Mytilus edulis: one gene and its partner. The protein of the gene in region 1 purifies or fractionates together with the protein of each later gene. This does not show direct contact. Links are inferred from orthologs where the notes say so. Each region holds a gene or a part of one and is shown in the gene's direction. Other genes may lie near its edges.

Region 1 (10,733 bases):
AAATTATATACCGGATGTTCATCTGATGGTCAAAATAATCCTTAAAACTGAAGTTGTGGCCACATTTAGCTATTTTATCAGTAGTTATCTAACTTTCTGATAAAAATCCTATTTTGGTGGACGATACACTCAAAAATATTCAAAATTAGAAAAATTCTATCCATATTTAGCTAAGTTGAATAACTCAAAGGGTACATTTTGATAACAGTTGATAATAGTTGAGAAAATAAATAAAAAGTTCTATGATTTGAGAAGATTCCCCCTATTTATATATATTGTTCTAATTTTGAAAATATTAAAGTTTGAAAGAAAACAATAACTGATAAGAAATACAATTTCACAATGTACCATTAAAACTTATAGTGCACTGAACAACACAAAATTTTACTAGCTTGTGGTTCAAAGTTTTAATTTTCTTATAATAATTAGTGTGGACTATTTTTTTCCTATGCAAGGTAAGATGCAGTTTTCTATTTTACTTTTTTTAACTTTGGTAATTTAGTGCGTCAATAAAAAAAAAATAGTAGGTGATTTTTTTCCTACTGTGAATGAATGAATCCATGAGCGAGCTTGCAATTGACCAAGTAAATAAATAAAAAATAGTAATGAAAAAAATAAATCACTGAAAAAAACCTAGTCTTCCTATTTACTCAATAAGTATGGATACGCAAGAACTGAAGTTAAAATTCGTTTTGTTGAACATGTAAGTAATTCGTGTGAAATGAAACTATAAGATTTTGACAAATACATGTATAAAACAATTATAACAATTTCAAAAACACAAAAACACGTTGATGAAATGTTTTTTGATTTTTTCACAGAAGTCTATACATCGGGTTATGGGTGTTGTTTTTTTTAAAATTTATTTCCTTGGTTACAGTATTTCATTTGCACTTTGTGAAAGAAATACGCAATGTTTTTACAAATATTAATACAAAACAACTTTGATTTAGGAAAAATGGTTTTAATTTTTCTTTGAAACAAAACAAAATATATTTGACATTCTGTTCAGCAGTAAAACTCTTCTTAACTAGGTATTTGTTGTAATTGGTTATTGTCACCCGCCTGTACAAGACAGATTTTATGTAGACCGGATCGGCCAACAAAATATATGTTCCTAATGTCTCTCTTGTTTCACGTTACAGTGTTAATACTGATGTAATGCTTTCAATCGATTCTTTTATTTTCTATAACAGTTCTTGACCATATGTCCATATACCAAACGCTCTTCAAATGTACGACTCCGCTCCAAGGGTCTAATTCATTGCAGGGGGAAAAAACAGTGACAATGAGCAATTAATCATCTTTAATTTTTTTGGAAGACGTTTTAGATAATTTATATTACAAATACAATAATTTTAAATTCAAACCTAAAACTTAAATTGACAATGTTAATACTGTCTGCTTTATTCTTTTTTTTGTATGATCTTATTCTTTTGTCATGAATATATATGTTGTGTACAAGATGTAAGTTTGTACAAATTATAATTTGTACAGGGTTTTTGTACAAGTTATAAGTTTTTTGACACCTACCTTCTTGCAACAGGTGATACAGGTTTAACTTATAAAATTTACCAGTGTAATGTTTTAAATTCAAAAAAACATACGTCAACCTAACATTTAGTGCTATTCTCCTTGCCTTCAAACTGTAAATGAGGATACCTGACTGGTTTAAATTCTAATTTTATTTTTTTCCTTATACCATATTCATATCTATACAAAATCTTTGTGAGGTCTTATAATGTTTCTGTATCAATGCTCAGTATTAGACTGTATCATGAAGTTGTGAAAAATTGACAGAAATATGCGGATTAAAAGACTGTGTGCTTGCATCATCTATTTTTGTTCAGCAGGTCATAAAACACTGATAACTTGTACAAAAATTCTGTACAAATTATAATTTGTACAACATTACAACTTGTACACAACATATACATATTATGGTTCCATCCCACATGGCATTTTTTATAAGATCATAATTTGTCTGACTTCGGTTCTAAAAAAATGATAAGTTGAACCTCTCAAAACTATTTTTTTTTCATTTGCTGCCAAAAAAAAAAAAAAAACGTTGTAAATAGTAGACACAATTTTCTGAATAATCCATTTTACTCGGCTTAGTTTCTTTATAATTTCGAAATTCATAAACGGACAGTGTTAGAACGGTTTCTTATATATCATGTCATGATAGTTTTGGGAAATATTTATCAAACTTGTGGGAGTCTACAATGATTATTGTACATGTTTTATTATTAACATTTTTTTTATATGTCATTTGTACATGTAGTTCAACTATTATTGTTCACTAGCAATATATTTTCAATCGAAGAACAATGCGTTTATTATGAATAATTGATTGCACTCATGATCAGCACACCAACAATGCGAAATTGAAAAAGCTGTTTTGGTAAATAGTATGGCGGAGATTTGTAGTTGTTTTCATACGGTATGGGTTGCTTCATTCCATATGAAATCAAATGACGGAATTCGCCTTTCATACAATTAACTTGCCAAATATATAGCATCATAAGTTGAATGAATTGAACATCTACTGTAAACGTTATATCCTATAAAAGTATTTAGATATAACCGCTATTGCATTGCAACCCCTATTAAATGACAGGAAATTAAAATTAAATATATACGGCCAAGCTAAACGAAGGCAAGATGACGGTGGCACTGAAGGGTTAAACACAATTCACTTATGGCAATTGTCATAATTATTACTGGCATTAATAAATTTTATTCAGCAATATACAAATCAACAAGGCAAAAAATGACAGATGCGGGTTTTCTGACTCCTAGAATTTTATTGCATTTTTATTCGCGAGAATATAAAGTAAAGATCGAAGGATAGTATCTGCAAGTCAAGCAAAAAAATGAAACACAAGACAAATAGTAAGTCACAGAATTATTATAACACGGTCATAAGGGTCCGTTGCATGCAAGTTTTACATGACGTTGAATGTCAGTCAGTTATATATTTTGGAACGGGTTATCAAACAGCTCAAAGGTCAAGAAGCCAATTTGATACTCAAATGCTATATATAAAATTGTACACTCCCTGACAGTGTTTAACCCGACGATAAAGCTAGTTTCTGGACAAAAGCAGTTGAAATAGTAATAACAATTTACAGATTTTATTTAATACCATTTAATTGTTTATGGGAAGGGGAGGAATGAATAACTTAATTGTAAGACCTGACAAATAAATAATTTTGCATATTAAGGACAGAATGCAATATTCGGCAACACAAAATGCAGAACACGAACTCTAATGTATACAATAAGCCTTAAAAAAATGATCATGAATATAAAGATTCGCCCCGACGACCACACACACACCCAGAACATCAAAATAAATGGTGGCTCTCTGATCACAAGTTAATGTTTTTGCTCACGAGTATTGCCTGAACATCCATCGGGTGTGCTAGAAGTTTGAAAGCAACGTGATCTGGATTTGTTGTTAACACTCAAAAGTCCACTTGTATTAAAAAAAAAATCGGTCCATTTGAAAAACCGGAAATTAATACAGAAATTATTTGTACCAACAGATGACACACATTCATTTGTAGTATTTGTTATGACAAACAGAACAATGGTAACGATACTTGTTGGTTGTTATAAACAAAACTATATACTGTACTGTGCACAAAATATATAGAAAATACTGTATACGTTTAAAATTGTACAATACAACACCAATATATATGTTTTATATATTTAATCTGTAAATAAACATTCTCCGTTAAAACCAAAAATAAAATTAATTTCTCGACTGTGACAAAGCGCTATGTGTCGGCGAAACCGTAACATTTTAAATATACAGATACCCAACTTCCAAGCAAGGAACGAAGCTCATAAACACGGCAATCAATTAAACGCAGGACTTCGGAAATGTCCGGTGAGTCGATAACATTGCTTCGGAAGTTGACAGATACCATGCAAAATCGACGATACAGTGGTTTTTCCGCTTTAAGACACGGTCAAACATGGCAAACACTACATCATGCATAATACTGTAAAGTTCAAAAGTCATTAACTTACGTTGTTAAAAGTTCAAAAGTCACTTATTTTTATGTATACATGTCTTGATATCTAACAGTTGTGATGTTCACTTGAATACACTTTTGAAAATATGAAATCACCAAATAATATTATGTTTTAACTTCAATTGAGAAACAAAATGTCTAAATTCGCTGACAAACAATAGGACAATTTTACATTTCATATAGTTGTACAGTTCAGCACCTCTAAACAATACATATTTTTATTTGTGAGACATGCACAACATTTGTAACATTATACACACTGAGAACTCTTAAGTATGCATGCCTACTCTTAAAAGCTGCCAAAATTTCACATGTGAGATTGATCATCGGAATACAGGAGTGCATTAATTTTTTGCACACCTTGCACAAAAGGGCCAAATGAGCTTTTCTTATCACTTGGCATCCGTGTTCTTTGAAACTACTGAGCCAATTAAAACCAAATTTGCCCTAAATAATCCTAAGGGTATTTAGTTTAAAAATGTATCCTATGACCCCGACCATCAACCAAGATGGCCGCTATGGCTAAAAATAGAACATGGGGAAAATGCAGTTTTTGGTTTATATATCTGAAACTAAAGCATTTAAAGAAAATCTGACATTGGATAACAATGTTCATCAGGTCAAGATCTATCTACTATACAATTTTCAGACGCATCAGAGAACCCGTTTTTGGTTTGCCGCACCTGAATAGGTAATTTTAAGGTATTTTTGCATTTTTTGATTGATTTATCTTGAATATTATAATTATTCGTTTGCCGACTGAGTGCAGAATATATATACAACGCGTCTAAACATCAACCCAACAATGTTAGATCTGTAAATTTGCTTTCGCAGATTTTTGGTTCTTCCCTCGCCGGGATTCGAACCCATACTACTGTGATATCGTGACACCAAATCGCCTGCACTGCAGCCGTCCCGCTAGACCACACGACCACCTGGGCTCTCATATATATATATATTCTGCACTCTGCACTCAGAATATATAAATATATACGCCTTCGGTCGGAAACATACTCCTTTGAGAGTGAGTGCCATGCTCTCTACACACAGATCAGGATTAGAAACACTTAACTGTTTGAGACTGCAGTTTCGCGGCGGGAGTCTTAATTTTTCTCATATTTGCAAAACAAACTAATCTGATTCTCTTACAAAATATACATATATTTGCCAACGATCGTACCACTATTTATGAAATATATGTTTTTAAGGTCCGATTTTCTTCAAAGCCATTTCAGTGATTAAAAGCCGAGTAGATTGACCAATGCGTCCATGCTCCATTTTAGGCAGATAATTGATGGATTTGAAAATTGAGCCCTGTTAATGTGAGCCATATATATACTTGTCAACAAAAGAAAAGATGCATGTATGTTCAAAATATAATGAATTTGGATACACTGTACCAAGGTAAATGATTGCCCAATTGATCTAATATTTACAGAGTGTTTTTTTTATTATTTCAAAATTCGATTTTTTGACAGAATATTCAATAATCGATATCAGAACTAAAAATTCAAAGACGGTCTGCTTAAAATTGAGAATACCTTTGCTGATATTTGAATACTTAATTCTCATCTCCGAATTTAAGTGTCGACTTTTTGTCATAATTTTCCGCAAAATAAATTCGACCACTTTGTTCAATAACTCGGGGGAGAGAGAAAAACTCCCGGGGCAAAGAAAATGCGCCTAGGGAAAATAAATAGAAATCATATAGGCATGAGACAACTTTGCGTCGATGAAATAAGTTATGAACATTGATGTTTTTTTTAAATTTTAGACAAGTATTTTGCAAATTCAGATAATAGACATTTTTAATAAAGCACAAAAAAAGAATATGACTGTTTCAAATTAAACAATATGAATAGTATTTCAAAAGATAGATAATAATGGATCACAGCTTATGCTGAAGATTTATAAAATATTATAGACATCAAAAGATATGTTTTTTTTTCAAAAACGATAACAAAATGACTGCTGAAAGTGTCAAAACAACTTTTTTAAAAATTTCACAGATACATATTAATTTATAAAATTAAAAGAGTTACACATTATTTAAGAACGATAAAAGTGACACGCACATGTATATCAGCATCGGCAAATAAAGCAATTATACTATGCATGTTAAAAGCAGGTATTTGGTATAAAACAAATAAAATTGAATCACCCATAAACAGACGCGGTTTAAACAGTTTTGATTTAAAAAAAAAATATTTTTTACAATTTTTACGGCATATTCCACAAGGCCGGAATATCATATTTGCTTTAACAGTGGGTTTAACTTTTCTTAGTTACAAGCATGTTGAAACTCTTCCACTATCTTCTAATGTCAATTCAAGTGTGTTTAATAAAATACAAAACTTTGAAGAATGTTCACCATGCAGTTGCGAATATTAGACCTCGGTAACTGATTTTTTTAAAATAACGAAATATACGTTTTGATCGAGGACGATATCGTTCATGATTCTTCTATATACTCTTGTTTATATTTGTTTTAACATATTTTCATTTTATTCTCCCGGGCGCTTGTTCGTAGGACCGCCTTGACGGCTTATTTCAGCTTTATAAATACATGATACTACGTAAACTCGTGTTCTATGAAAATTAAACCAAAATGGTATTTAGTAACGTCGTAGATTGACGATTGTTATGTTAAGATTTGAAAAACATTGATAAACAAAATTATATTACACTATAAACCCAGTCACTCTGATATTTATAACAGAAACAAGAAAACATTCATGAGAAAGCCAATTTACGATTCGCACCTGTCTTTATTTTCAATAGTGGGAGGAGGGTCACATGATTACTATTTTTAGATGGACAAAATGTCGGCAGATCTAACGTTCGGTAAGTTTTTAACTTGTTGCATAACAGATCTATGTTTATGCTCATCTTTTGGAGAAAGTAATTGATTTTAAATGAAATTAACAATTTTCTTTTTCGTTCTTAGGGTCCGTACCGCCATTTTATCGAGAGGTGTACGAGATTTTATGTCCTAACCAAGAACAGGTTGACGAAGATCTGCTGGTCAACCTTTTACTGAAATCAAGTTTACCAAGAGCGACAATTACTCAAGTAAATATTGAAATAATTTTATACCATTATATATTTATATTAATGCTGTAATATTTTAAATATTTTGATTGATACTACAATTGCCTTGCAGAAAGCACATGTTCTGTAAATGAACAACTTTAATTAATTTTGTCAACACCGGAAACTCCCCTCTACTAATTAGGTACTGGACATGTAGATAGTCACCTGATTGTTTACATCAGGTAAATAAGGCAAATTATTAATAAAAACATAGAGTTTACATGTTAATGTTGTTATGGCATTACATCTAGGCATTTATCATGTTTATTAAAATGTTATTTATTTTAGGTTTTTACTTTTAGATATTTATACATGTACATGTACAATTGCATATGTACAAAATGTATCACAACCTTTTGAAAGTTATCTACAACTGTTCATGACCAATTAGAATTGTTCCATCACCTTGCACTTCATGCTAATAACAGATGTGTTGTGTAAAATGGTAAACAAGCTTTATCATGTAACATTGTTTATTATGTTTATCATGTTTATATTCAGACAAAAACTTTGATTTCATTTTAAAAAAATGTTTTGTTTGATCCAATAGACCACTTTCGAATTATGTCCTATACTAGTCACCAGAAAAGTTCATCAATTATGCACACCTTTCTGAATTCATGTACCAGGTAAAGGGGGTTTCCTGTATGCCTGTATGCCTTGTATGATATACCTACAGCAATAAAGTTTATCAAGTGTCTAAGCAATTTTCAATATGCAGGATGAACAAGATATACTGTTTGTTGTGTAGGTACATTATTACAATTCCCTAATTACAGCACTGCTGGTTGTCGATTACAAGAATTTTATTTGCTGAAAAATTCACGCAATATAGAATCATATTTTTAAATCAATTGCTCAACATTTAGTTTAAACATATTTATTTATAGTGGATTGGGAAACAAGTTTGTGCAACTTATATTAACCCCTTTCCACTTTGCGGGTGCGAGTGCTGCCTTGTAGCGGCATTAGCCTGCTCTTTTTCGAAATCTACAAGGGTGTCTTTAAACTGCAAGAGATATGGCTCTCTCTTAACACAGGTCAGCCATTTATCGTCCCCTTCCGATGGACAATAACTGTTTTCCAAGACCATACTCGCAAATTGCTGTCAAGGGAGAGCCGAAAATTTGGTCCCTGAAATTTGCTCAACATTTGAAGTGAAGATGCCTAGCTAGCTATAAACAAACAATTGATGTTCACTTGAATTAAAGTTTTTGATAGAATTGCAATGAGCTTGAAAGTGGTCTATTCAGACAATACTGTTAATGCTGTCCCTCTGGTTTCTACATGTCAAGTTTGAAATTTCTGTTTTTATACCTCGTAACAATTAATCGTACACATGTTACTTTGTACATGTACATACATGCATAACAATATGTAGATCATATGTTCATTATGGAGTAAAATATTTGATTATAAACATGATAACTGTATGCTAAAGTAAATTGGGTTTTGAAAGATGCCTTACAGTTGAAGTAAAGATGCCTACATTGTTTTTTTGTAGCTAGCATAATAAACAAACAAATGATGTTCACTTGTAAAATTAAAGTTTTTGACAGAATTGTAATGAGCTTGAAAGTGGTCTATTCCGACAAGACTGTTAATGCTGTCCCTCTGGTTTCTTCATGTTAAGTTTGATATTTCTGTTTTTATACCCTGTTAACAATTAATGGTCCACATGGTACTTTGTACATACATGCATAACAATATGTAGATCATATGTTCATTATGGAGTAAAATATTTGATTAATAAACATGATACATTGTAAATGTATGCTAAAGTAAATTGGGTTTTGAAAGATGCCTTACAGTTCAATGAACATGGAAATAACTCAGTGTTAGCAAAGTATTGTGTTTTAAGGACACATACCCATGTACATTGTACTGTTGTTATGTCATGAATCAACACCAGTCATGCCAGTTTGTAACATGTCAATTTAAATTTTGCAGCATAACCTTGTTCATTTCAAATGTGGTCAGATGCATGTTGTTTTGTGAAAAATTATGCAAATTAACACATGTGTTATAACTTGTGATATGCCTCAAATAACTAGTTGTGTATAATCACATCTAAGGTTTTTGTATCCATTCTTCAGATATGGGATGCAGTTGACAATAAATCAGGATTTGTAAATAGAAATGGATTGTACAAAGCTTTGGCCCTTACAGCTCTTGCTCAGAATGGAAAAACGATACATGATAAACTACTGGAAAGCTATGCTGGTCAAGGTAAGCTTGTTTATGTTGTTTAAATAAGTTTTATTAGAACAATTCATACATGTTACTTTTATAAATTGTTATTTGGATGGAGAGTTGTCTCATTGGCACTCATACCATATCTTCCTATATCTATGTACATGATGTATGTTTCAAACACGTTTTGGTTAAGCATTGCTTAAAAATTTGCTATGTGCTAAATGCAAGGATGAACTTCACTAAAACCAAAGGTATTGATCAATAGAAAAATGCTGTATTCTTCATGGTTTTACTTCAACATGTTCATGTGATCTTGGGGTAAGGGACGACATCAAAAGATTGATGTAGGATAAAAAACTTAAATCAAATAGTTTGGGGGTGGGGGTTAAAATTCTACAAAGTTTTGTAAATCTAAAATCGATTTTTACATATATCCCTATTGGTAAATCAATTTTTCCCAAATTAAGTTAAGAGGGGGGGTGGGGGGGGGTCAGTGAAAAAACTATCTGAATTAAGTTTTTAATCCTACATTGAACTTTTGATGTCGTCCCTAAATACATGTACATGTAATATTTTGTTTCCATTATTGTAGAAAAAGAGCTCTTTCACAGTGATTATTATGTTTCACAAAATATATTATGATAAAAGTTGAGGTAAGTTCAAAAATGAAGTTATCCTGAAAGGTTAATGACTGACCAACACCCTCCCCCCTCCCCAGATTTTTATTCAAAAGAGTTTATGATACTGATACTGATTTATCTGCTTTCTTAGAAATCATTTATTTAAGAAGTTGACTCACAAATGACAATCTTATAAACTGTTCACACCAAAAACCTTGATTTGAAAATCAATGATTTAAAATATACAGTTTGCATGGTTTGCATTGTGCAGTATCTGGTAATATAAGACACTACATGAGTCATGAGTTAAATTTGTTAAAAAAAAACATGTGGAACTTCCTATTAGATACCTTTAGCCTTCAGTGATCTTCTAAGTAGTTGGGTAAAATCAGACTATTTATCTGGTTTATATCAAGGAAACACACCCAGTTGACCTTTTATTTACATTTTTACTTTGCGCATATTACATGTATAAATTTAAGACTTTTAAATATAGACATCAAGCTAAAAGTATTGCAGACATTTTATGAAGAACCTCTTATGATTTTTACAAGATATATACATGATATAGGAAGACAAACTTAAATCCTACTTTTCCAATGTGCTACAAAAAGATGGTATCTCTCGTTCAAGTATGGTCGCCTTTTTCATGATGTTATAAAAGGAACTTGAAAGCAAGACAATTTTACATAGTTAATTGTAATTGTAGTACATTTGTATTGAACCAATTTTCAAGACATTTCTGCCATTGGCCTTCTTCAGTTTCTTTATTTTT
Region 2 (10,679 bases), on another chromosome or scaffold:
AACTAACTCTATGTCTAAGGCTGTGTTCACATTGACCTTAACTCAATGGAAATAAGAGCAAGAGTAAGTGTCTTGTACGTCAATGTACCAAACTAACTTTATGTCTAAGGCTGTGTTCACATTGACCTTAACTCAATGGAAATATGAGCAAGAGTAAGTGTCTTGTACGTCAATGTACCAAACTAACTTTATGTCTAAGGCTGTGTTCCTATTGACCTTAACTCAATGGAAATATGAGCAAGATTAACTGTCTTGTACGTCAATGTACCAAACTAACTTTATGTCTAAGGCTGTGTTCCCATTGACCTTAACTCAATGGAAATATGAGCAAGAGTAACTGTCTTGTACGTCAATGTACCAAACTAACTGTTTGACTAAGACTGTGTTCACATTGACCTTAACTCAATGGAAATATGAGCAAGAGTAACTGTCTTGTGCGTCAATGTACCAAACTAACTTTATGTCTAAGGCTGTGTTCCCATTGACCTTAACTCAATGGAAATATGAGCAAGAGTAACTGTCTTGTGCGTCAATGTACCAAACTAACTTTATGTCTAAGGCTGTGTTCCCATTGACCTTAACTCAATGGAAATATGAGCAAGAGTAACTGTCTTGTACGTCAATGTACCAAACTAACTGTTTGACTAAGACTGTGTTCACATTGACCTTAACTCAATGGAAATATGAGCAAGAGTAACTGTCTTGTACGTCAATGTACCAAACTAACTTTATGTCTAAGGCTGTGTTCACATTGACCTTAACTCAATGGAAATATGAGCAAGAGTAAGTGTCTTGTACATCAATGTACCAAACTAACTTTATGTCTAAGGCTGTGTTCCCATTGACCTTAACTCAATGGAAATATGAGCATGAGTAACTGTCTTGTACGTCAATGTACCAAACTAACTTTATGTCTAAGGCTGTGTTCACATTGACCTTAACTCAATGGAAATATGAGCAAGAGTAACTGTCTTGTGCGTCAATGTACCAAACTAACTTTATGTCTAAGGCTGTGTTCACATTGACCTTAACTCAATGGAAATATGAGCATGAGTAACTGTCTTGTACGTCAATGTACCAAACTAACTTTATGTCTAAGGCTGTGTTCCCATTGACCTTAACTCAATGGAAATATGAGCAAGAGTAACTGTCTTGTGCGTCAATGTACCAAACTAACTTTATGTCTAAGGCTGTGTTCCCATTGACCTTAACTCAATGGAAATATGAGCAAGAGTAACTGTCTTGTACGTCAATGTACCAAACTAACTGTTTGACTAAGACTGTGTTCACATTGACCTTAACTCAATGGAACTATGAGCAAGAGTAACTGTCTTGTACATCAATGTACCAAATTAACTTTATGTCTAAGGCTGTGTTCACATTGACCTTAACTCAATGGAAATATGAGCAAGAGTAACTGTCTTGTACGTCAATGTACCAAACTAACTGTTTGACTAAGGCTGTGTTCACATTGATCTTAACTGAATGGAAATATGAGCAAGAGTAACTGTCTTGTACGTCAATGTACCAAACTAACTGTTTGACTAAGACTGTGTTCACATTGACCTTAACTCAATGGAAATATGAGCATGAGTAACTGTCTTGTACGTCAATGTACCAAACTAACTGTTTGACTAAGGCTGTGTTCACATTGACCTTAACTCAATGGAAATATGAGCAAGAGTAACTGTCTTGTATGTCTATGTACCAAACTAACTTTATGTCTAAGGCTGTGTTCACATTGACCTTAACTCAATGGAACTATGAGCAAGAGTAAATGTCCTGTGCGTCAATGTACCAAACTAACTTTATGTCTAAGGCTGTGTTCACATTGAACTTAACTCAATGGAACTATGAGCAAGAGTAACTGTCTTGTACGTCAATGTACCAAACTTACTTTATGTCTAAGGCTGTGTTCACATTGACCTTAACTCAATGGAAATATGAGCAAGATTAACTGTCTTGTACGTCAATGTACCAAACTAACTTTATGTCTAAGGCTGTGTTCACATTGACCTTAACTCAATGGAAATATGAGCAAGAGTAAGTGTCTTGTACGTCAATGTACCAAACTAACTGTTTGACTAAGGCTGTGTTCACATTGACCTTAACTCAATGGAAATATGAGCAAGATTAACTGTCTTGTACGTCAATGTATCAAACTAACTGTTTGACTAAGACTGTGTTCACATTGACCTTAACTCAATGGAACTATGAGCAAGAGTAAGTGTCTTGTACGTCAATGTACCAAACTAACTTTATGTCTAAGGCTGTGTTCACATTGACCTTAACTCAATGGAAATATGAGCAAGAGTAAGTGTCTTGTACGTCAATGTACCAAACTAACTTTATGTCTAAGGCTGTGTTCCTATTGACCTTAATTCAATGGAAATATGAGCAAGAGTAACTGTCTTGTACGTCAATGTACCAAACTAACTTTATGTCTAAGGCTGTGTTCACATTGACCTTAACTCAATGGAAATATGAGCAAGAGTAAGTGTCTTGTACATCAATGTACCAAACTAACTTTATGTCTAAGGCTGTGTTCCCATTGACCTTAACTCAATGGAAATATGAGCATGAGTAACTGTCTTGTACGTCAATGTACCAAACTAACTTTATGTCTAAGGCTGTTTTCACATTGACCTTAACTCAATGGAAATATGAGCAAGAGTAACTGTCTTGTGCGTCAATGTACCAAACTAACTTTATGTCTAAGGCTGTGTTCCCATTGACCTTAACTCAATGGAAATATGAGCAAGAGTAACTGTCTTGTGCGTCAATGTACCAAACTAACTTTATGTCTAAGGCTGTGTTCCCATTGACCTTAACTCAATGGAAATATGAGCATGAGTAACTGTCTTGTACGTCAATGTACCAAACTAACTTTATGTCTAAGGCTGTGTTCACATTGACCTTAACTCAATGGAAATATGAGCAAGAGTAAGTGTCTTGTACATCAATGTACCAAACTAACTTTATGTCTAAGGCTGTGTTCACATTGACCTTAACTCAATGGAAATATGAGCAAGAGTAAGTGTCTTGTACATCAATGTACCAAACTAACTTTATGTCTAAGGCTGTGTTCCCATTGACCTTAACTCAATGGAAATATGAGCATGAGTAACTGTCTTGTACGTCAATGTACCAAACTAACTTTATGTCTAAGGCTGTGTTCACATTGACCTTAACTCAATGGAAATATGAGCAAGAGTAACTGTCTTGTGCGTCAATGTACCAAACTAACTTTATGTCTAAGGCTGTGTTCCCATTGACCTTAACTCAATGGAAATATGAGCAAGAGTAACTGTCTTGTGCGTCAATGTACCAAACTAACTTTATGTCTAAGGCTGTGTTCCCATTGACCTTAACTCAATGGAAATATGAGCAAGAGTAACTGTCTTGTACGTCAATGTACCAAACTAACTGTTTGACTAAGACTGTGTTCACATTGACCTTAACTCAATGGAACTATGAGCAAGAGTAACTGTCTTGTACATCAATGTACCAAATTAACTTTATGTCTAAGGCTGTGTTCACATTGACCTTAACTCAATGGAAATATGAGCAAGAGTAACTGTCTTGTACGTCAATGTACCAAACTAACTGTTTGACTAAGACTGTGTTCACATTGACCTTAACTCAATGGAACTATGAGCAAGAGTAACTGTCTTGTACATCAATGTACCAAATTAACTTTATGTCTAAGGCTGTGTTCACATTGACCTTAACTCAATGGAAATATGAGCAAGAGTAACTGTCTTGTACGTCAATGTACCAAACTAACTGTTTGACTAAGACTGTGTTCACATTGACCTTAACTCAATGGAAATATGAGCAAGATTAACTGTCTTGTACGTCAATGTACCAAACTAACTTTATGTCTAAGGCTGTGTTCACATTGAACTTAACTCAATGGAACTATGAGCAAGAGTAACTGTCTTGTACGTCAATGTACCAAACTTACTTTATGTCTAAGGCTGTGTTCACATTGACCTTAACTCAATGGAAATATGAGCAAGATTAACTGTCTTGTACGTCAATGTACCAAACTAACTTTATGTCTAAGACTGTATTCACATTGACCTTAACTCAATGGAAATATGAGCAAGAGTAACTGTCTTGTACGTCAATGTACCAAACTAACTTTATGTCTAAGGCTGTGTTCACATTGACCTTAACTCAATGGAAATATGAGCAAGAGTAACTGTCTTGTACGTCAATGTACCAAACTAACTTTATGTCTAAGGCTGTGTTCACATTGACCTTAACTCAATGGAACTATGAGCAAGAGTAACTGTCTTGTACATCAATGTACCAAACTAACTTTATGTCTAAGACTGTGTTCACATTGACCTTAACTCAATGGAAATATGAGCAAGAGTAAGTGTCTTGTACGTCAATGTACCAAACTAACTTTATGTCTAAGGCTGTTTTCCCATTGACCTTAACTCAATGGAAATAAGAGCAAGAGTAACAGGCATGCATGTACATCAATGTAACAAAACTTACGCCTTGACTAAAGCTGTGTTCACTTTGAGCTCAACTTGATGGAGATATTTTCAAGACTAACGGGCATGTACATCATAGAAACGAAACTAACCTTATGACTATGATGTGTTCACACTCACTAACTCAATGGAAATATAAGAAAGAGTAACAGGCATGTACAAAAACTAACTCTGTGACTAAGGCTGTGTCCAAACTGACCTTAATTAAATGGAAATATGAGCTAGAGTAGCAGGCATGTGTATGTTTACTTGTTTTTTTTTTGTTAATAAGTCTTTTTGTTTGAGTCAAACCCTTTCAATTGATATTTTATAGTGTGTCTTTCTATGTTGTTCTGTTACACTAATATTTCGGGTTAGGGTGAAGTTTGGTGTCTGTTAAAACGTTTAAACCTGCTGCATTCGTTTGCACCAGTTGAACTTCAAGAATCTGTTCAGTGGTTGTCTTTTGTTAATGTGGTTCGTGATTGTTTCTTGTTTCTCATTTTCAATTTTTATATAGAGTAGATCCTTGGTTTTTTCTGTTTGAATTGTTTTAAACTAGTCATTCTAGGGTCCTATATAGCTTGCTGTTCAATGTGAGTCAAGGCTCCGCGTTGAAAGCCTTACTTTGACCTATACTAGTTTTACTTTTTACACATTTTGAAAGACTTGGATGTAGAGTTGTCTCAATGGCACTCGTACCACATCTTCTTATTTCATTTTACATCAATGTAATAAAACTCTTCTCGTTGGCTATTTACAAGCTGTGTTGGCCCATATGGGCGTAAAGTGCTTTTCAATAAAGTTTATAAATTATATATATATCTATATTTATGTCAAATATATTATGTAAAAAAATTGTTTAAAACACCAAAATAGTTAAAAAGGAAAACTTAAATAAAGTTAAATTATATACATCATAGAAGGCTATATTGCTTATGTGTTCGTTTCAATTAATAATAGATATAATTGTTATGCCTTTTTTCTCTAATATGTGTGTGGCTCTGATCTGGCTGTGGTTTAACATCTAAGAATTGAGATTCATATTTATATATGATTTATATCAGCATTATTGTGTCAGTTATAAAAATCATTGTAATAAATTACTTTGCTCTTCGTGGTCCCTTTAATTGGAATAAAAAATATTTTATCTTTATTTAATTATCTCATTAATAACGTGTTGCTTTCTTTCTGTTGCGTCTTATTTATGTAATGATAATCAAGGATATACAAATCCTTCATGTAATTTAAAAGCGCTGTAGACACAGACACTATGGCTGTAGAGCTTATCTTATGCCTGTGTTTTGTTGACCATGCCTACTCTACAACATATTTATTTGTATTTTTTTATTAAGTATATAATATCTTTATTGCTAACGTATGTCACAAGTTCATGATTTACTGAAAAAAAAAGTGAAGATGTGATATTTTTTTATTATTCTTATTAATTATTTGCTTGCCACAATATTTACAACTGAACATCAAAGATTTGTATAGACTTTAGTACATCTAAATTCGTGTACACATATATCAAGTGTTCGAGTAGGTACGTTGTCAAGTTCTTTTTGGTTTATAGACCTATTTTCAGATTCGGCTATTTTCGTCACTCTCCGTCTATCATCGATAAATAAATATGGCGATGGAACGGATAAAGTTCTCCTACGTAAACACTACAAATCGCCCCCATTTCAGGTAGGACAACGGCCTTGCTATGCCACAGTATCAATATTAAAGCATATAGTTTCACGTTTCTTTGCTAGATCCAGTTTCTCTGTCGGATTTGCATGGCAATCAAACAGCTGATTAATGTTACGCGGCCACGACCCTTTTTTGTTCGATTTTAGATATTTTTCTTGACATTGATCGCGTGGTTATCAACTTAATCTAGGGAAAACTAAGATGATCAGAAATCAAATTATGATTTGTTTTAAGCAATGTTTTATATTGTATTACACAGACAGTCGAGTATACTAACTACATGAAATACAATAAGTATAAAGGTTGCCTTTTTGAAGGTATTGATTCGTTGTTGAACTTCAAAGAAAACAAGACACCATACCGTGATGGTTCAATAAACTTTACGTTAACCACAGTCTCTACCCATTTATTTAATTCCTTCTAACTTAAAGCATATCTTTCTAATCCTGCTAATCTACATGTAGGGGGAGAAATATACCAATGGGAAAATCAACTTACATCATGTACATTTAAGGACAAAGAAAAGTCATGACTGAAAGAAATATCTGTACATGTTCAGGTCATAATAACAAGTACTGGCTTTTATACAATGAGTTGTAGGTGTCAGTTTGTGTGGGCAGATTAAATGCTCTTAATAAAAAGACTTGCACTTGTCAATGCTTGTTGTGCGCACAACTAGTTCTAGATGGTACTAGTTGATTATAATTTGTGGACACAAAGAGAGTTGGTACATATGTAGTCCAAATAATTATGACGTCTGGCAAGGCTATTTTAATTTTTTTCTGGGACGCCTTCGTTGTAGGAAGGCGTCCCAGAAAAAAATTAAAAATAGCCTTGCCAGACGTCATAATTATTTGGACTAGTACATATGATACATGGTTTTATCTAGCTAATTTTTATGCCCCACCTACGATAGTAGAGGGGCATTATGTTTTCTGATCTGTGGCCCCTTTCGTTCATCCGTTCGTTCGTTCTTCCCGCTTCAGGTTAACTTGAAACTTAGTACACATGTTCCCTATAGTATAATCTTTCTAATTTTAATACCAAATTATATATTTACCCAATTTCAAAGTCCTTGGAACATGGAAAATGATAGTGCGAGTGGGGCATCTGTGTACTTGGGACACATTCTTGTTAGTTTTAGTCTGGATCAATAGCAGGAACCTGCCCCTCAACCACTGTGTACCCAAATATAAGCTTTTTGTATGTGCATCTAAATGTATGCTGTAGTTTTTGTAATTTGTAAGTTTGACAAGGATTTTGTTATGCATCCATCTTTTCTTGTCTTAAGTTATTAAATATTTTGAACCTTTCTAGCTTGTTTGTGGCTGTTCATGCTATGCTGTTGCTGCATCTTCCATTGTTGAGTGTACTTGTGAAATGTTAGCAGTTTTCTTACCAAACAAATGAAAGTTTTTAACGACCTTGACTGGCTATACAGCCCTTGTACCAGTTCTTACCATTCATGCGGACAGTACATGTAAATGTACCTTAGGTTCCTTCTCAGAAAACTTAGGGTTGAATTTGCCTTATTTGCAACAGTTATTATGACTTTTTGTGTGTGCTTTACTTCAGATCTTCTGATATTTGTTTTCCTAGGTGTGAGTTGTTGGAGAATGTGTCCATTTAGCATATTAAATCTCTAGCTTTTGTTTTTAAAGCATATATAACAATGTAACATTTTTTTCCATTAAATAATTGAAATCGCATTCCCCAGTTGTTTATCAATCTTCTTGTAGTTCTAAGTTTGTGGTCTTTTTTCTATTTTGATGGTTCTATACAGTATTCAGTTGCTAGCAAACAGCCTTACAGAAGGTGTTACAGTGTTCAGGAGGTCAGTTATGTGAATAAAGAAGAGATAGGGTACAAGTAAATGAGGAGACTTTTAACAGGTCATGAAACAATAACAGAATTCACACAAGATAACATTTTTGATGACATTTTTTGGTGTTTTTTTTCTCCTCATAGGATAAGTAACATTTAGTATGTCTTCATAATTCTGGTATACACTGGATGACTGTCGATGAACATTGATCTTTTTGATAAATTAATACATGATTCCTATACTTTGTTTCTATTGTGAAGTACATGTGAAGTATAAATCCTAATCCTTTGAAATTGATAAAAACATTGACATGACTGGCCTTAAAGTGATGTACAAATGTATCTTGTATCATGGGTTTTAGTGCTATTGAGAATGCACCATGACATCACAATTTCCCTCAAAAAAGGTACAAATATGATCTGGTGCTTTAATTATATACAATATGTGCTTGTTTTTCCGACATCATATTTATTATTACAAATTATGTATTGCATGCTGACGACCTAACTTTACATTCATGATATTGATAATGTTTTACAGAAAATAAAGATGATTGGCTGTGATAATGGCAAGCAAGAAAATAGATATCAACAAGGCTAGTGTAGAAGACTTTGAAAAAGTAAATGGTATTGGTTTAAGAAAAGCAAAAGCTATCATCAAATACAGGAAGGTCAGTTTTTCTCATGGTCATTATTTTAAATTTCTTGAAAAGTGGACATTAAAAGTATTTACATATTGTCAAGCCTGGGCACTATAGCTTCTTATTATACAGTTTTTGTTTTACTCATTGTTGAGGGCCTAACAGTGTCTTACAGTTGTGTACACTTTACAAATTTGTTTCATTTGTAATTTTACTACAAATTCAAATAGGTATGCACTTTAATTGGCTTTTAGTTATATAAAACTGTCTATATAAAAAGATGTGGTACATGTATGATTGCCAATGAAAAAAACTCCACCTGTGACAGTCAAACCAAATGACGTCAAAGGAAGCAACAAATGGTCATTGTATGACCTTCAATAATGATCAAATCTCAAAACACATTGCAAACTACAACAGACCCCATTGTTTATATACATGTATGCAGATCGGCACATCAAACTTTAGGCTCTTTGCTTTCTAGCTTATAGATTCAAAACAAATGAAACTTAACATACATACATACATACTTGTAGATTGAGAGAAAGGGGGCAAGCAACAAGTGCAAATCATAGGTTTTAAAACAGATCAAAGAATTTTAAGATTGGAATGAGTCTAAGAACAACAGCTTTGGAATTTGAGTAACCTGAATTTTGATACCTTTTTTCTGAAATTTTTTCAGCTGAAATAATTTACAATTCTATTAATTGTATACTTCAAAGTAACCTATTTGGCACAGTACATTTTTAAAGATTTGCCATATAATTTATTGCAGTCATTTGGAGGTTTCTCAACCGTAAAGGATTTGAGTAGTGTCCCAGGAGTTGGGGATTGTATTGTGGAACAAAGTCGTACTCAGTTGACATGTAGTAACCGCAAACGCAAAGCTGTCAGGTAATTTATATACTTAAATACAGTATACTACATTGTACAAAATACTAAATCTATAATTGGATAAGCTTTTGAAACTGGAGGAAAAGCATGGGTTGTATTTTTAACTGTCTCATAACAAGTACAAATTTTACATTTGATATTTTCTGACAATGCATGTATATTATTTTTTTTATGAAAAAGAGGGAGATTTTGCACTTACAACATACAACATTTCGAAGTTAGATATATAACCGGTTAACATATTCATCTACAAAGCACCAATAACATTTAAAAAGTATACTTTATCTCTTCAATTCATGATTTTGTGCAAGTGCTTCCCAATCAAAATGGTAGGTTTGGCAGGTATGAGTGAAATATTTGTCAGGTTACATAACATTGTATGTAATTGAAAATAATTCAATAAAAGTTTCTTACTTTTATTTTGAACATTTAAAAAAAATGAAACTTTCAGTTGTTGGGCTTTTTTTTCAAATTTTTAGTTCAAAAGGAATGTGGCATGTATTATAAATAAACTTGCATGCCATGTAAAAAATGCATGTTTAAAAAAAAAATGGTACTTTTATGTTTTGTTCATTAAATATGATGTATGATTATTCAACTTATTTTTTCAGGACACCTAAAGTAAAAGATAATGTTTGTAAGGAACAGCCATCATCTAGTGGGTTATCAGCCAGATCTATCAGACACAATCAACGAGCACTGTTCAAATCAACAGAGGAACATGTTGATGATGGTAACAGTATTGTATCCCACGAAGGTCACATGTCAGAGGAAGAGTCTGGCGATGAGGTTATGTTCCGTGAAGAAGACAGGTCTAATGCTCAACATAAATCTAGGATTCCTATACCAGTCAATGGACTCTTCAGTAGCCATGTGGTTAGCATCTTACAAATTATTGTCTGTAAACCATCTTATCTTAGGGCTGTTATGGAACTTGAATTTGTCATTGTTTTATCCTCCCTCATTAGATGATAATTTCTGTTCAAACTATCTTTCTTCAAAGACCACCACCAATAGTATCTCATTAAGTGCCTTCAATTATTTGTGTGTGACAATATAGTTTAAAATTCTCATAAATAAGATATGTTTTAATGCACAGATTAATTAATGATTTGGGCTTAATTTTCTGTAA

What was found. The genes of interacting proteins can lie anywhere in the genome.
Region 2: the proteins of sorting nexin-8-like (region 1) and F-box/WD repeat-containing protein 7-like purify together in Homo sapiens (affinity purification with mass spectrometry; 3 studies listed by BioGRID and IntAct, counting the BioPlex papers as one, with this or other methods). This does not show direct contact. The link is inferred for Mytilus edulis from reciprocal best matches to the Homo sapiens genes SNX8 and FBXW7.

What each region holds. Positions count from the first base shown.
Region 1 is NC_092352.1:67,332,300-67,343,032, reverse strand, and holds the start of sorting nexin-8-like, read left to right. Parts: upstream 1-6,773; 5' UTR 6,774-6,862; coding exon 6,863-6,893; intron 6,894-6,996; coding exon 6,997-7,121; intron 7,122-9,238; coding exon 9,239-9,371; intron 9,372-10,733. UniProt on the Homo sapiens protein: May be involved in several stages of intracellular trafficking. May play a role in intracellular protein transport from early endosomes to the trans-Golgi network.
Region 2 is NC_092351.1:67,279,799-67,290,477, forward strand, and holds the start of F-box/WD repeat-containing protein 7-like, read left to right. Parts: upstream 1-6,092; 5' UTR 6,093-6,182; intron 6,183-8,553; 5' UTR 8,554-8,578; coding exon 8,579-8,683; intron 8,684-9,428; coding exon 9,429-9,547; intron 9,548-10,158; coding exon 10,159-10,423; intron 10,424-10,679. UniProt on the Homo sapiens protein: Substrate recognition component of a SCF (SKP1-CUL1-F-box protein) E3 ubiquitin-protein ligase complex which mediates the ubiquitination and subsequent proteasomal degradation of target proteins.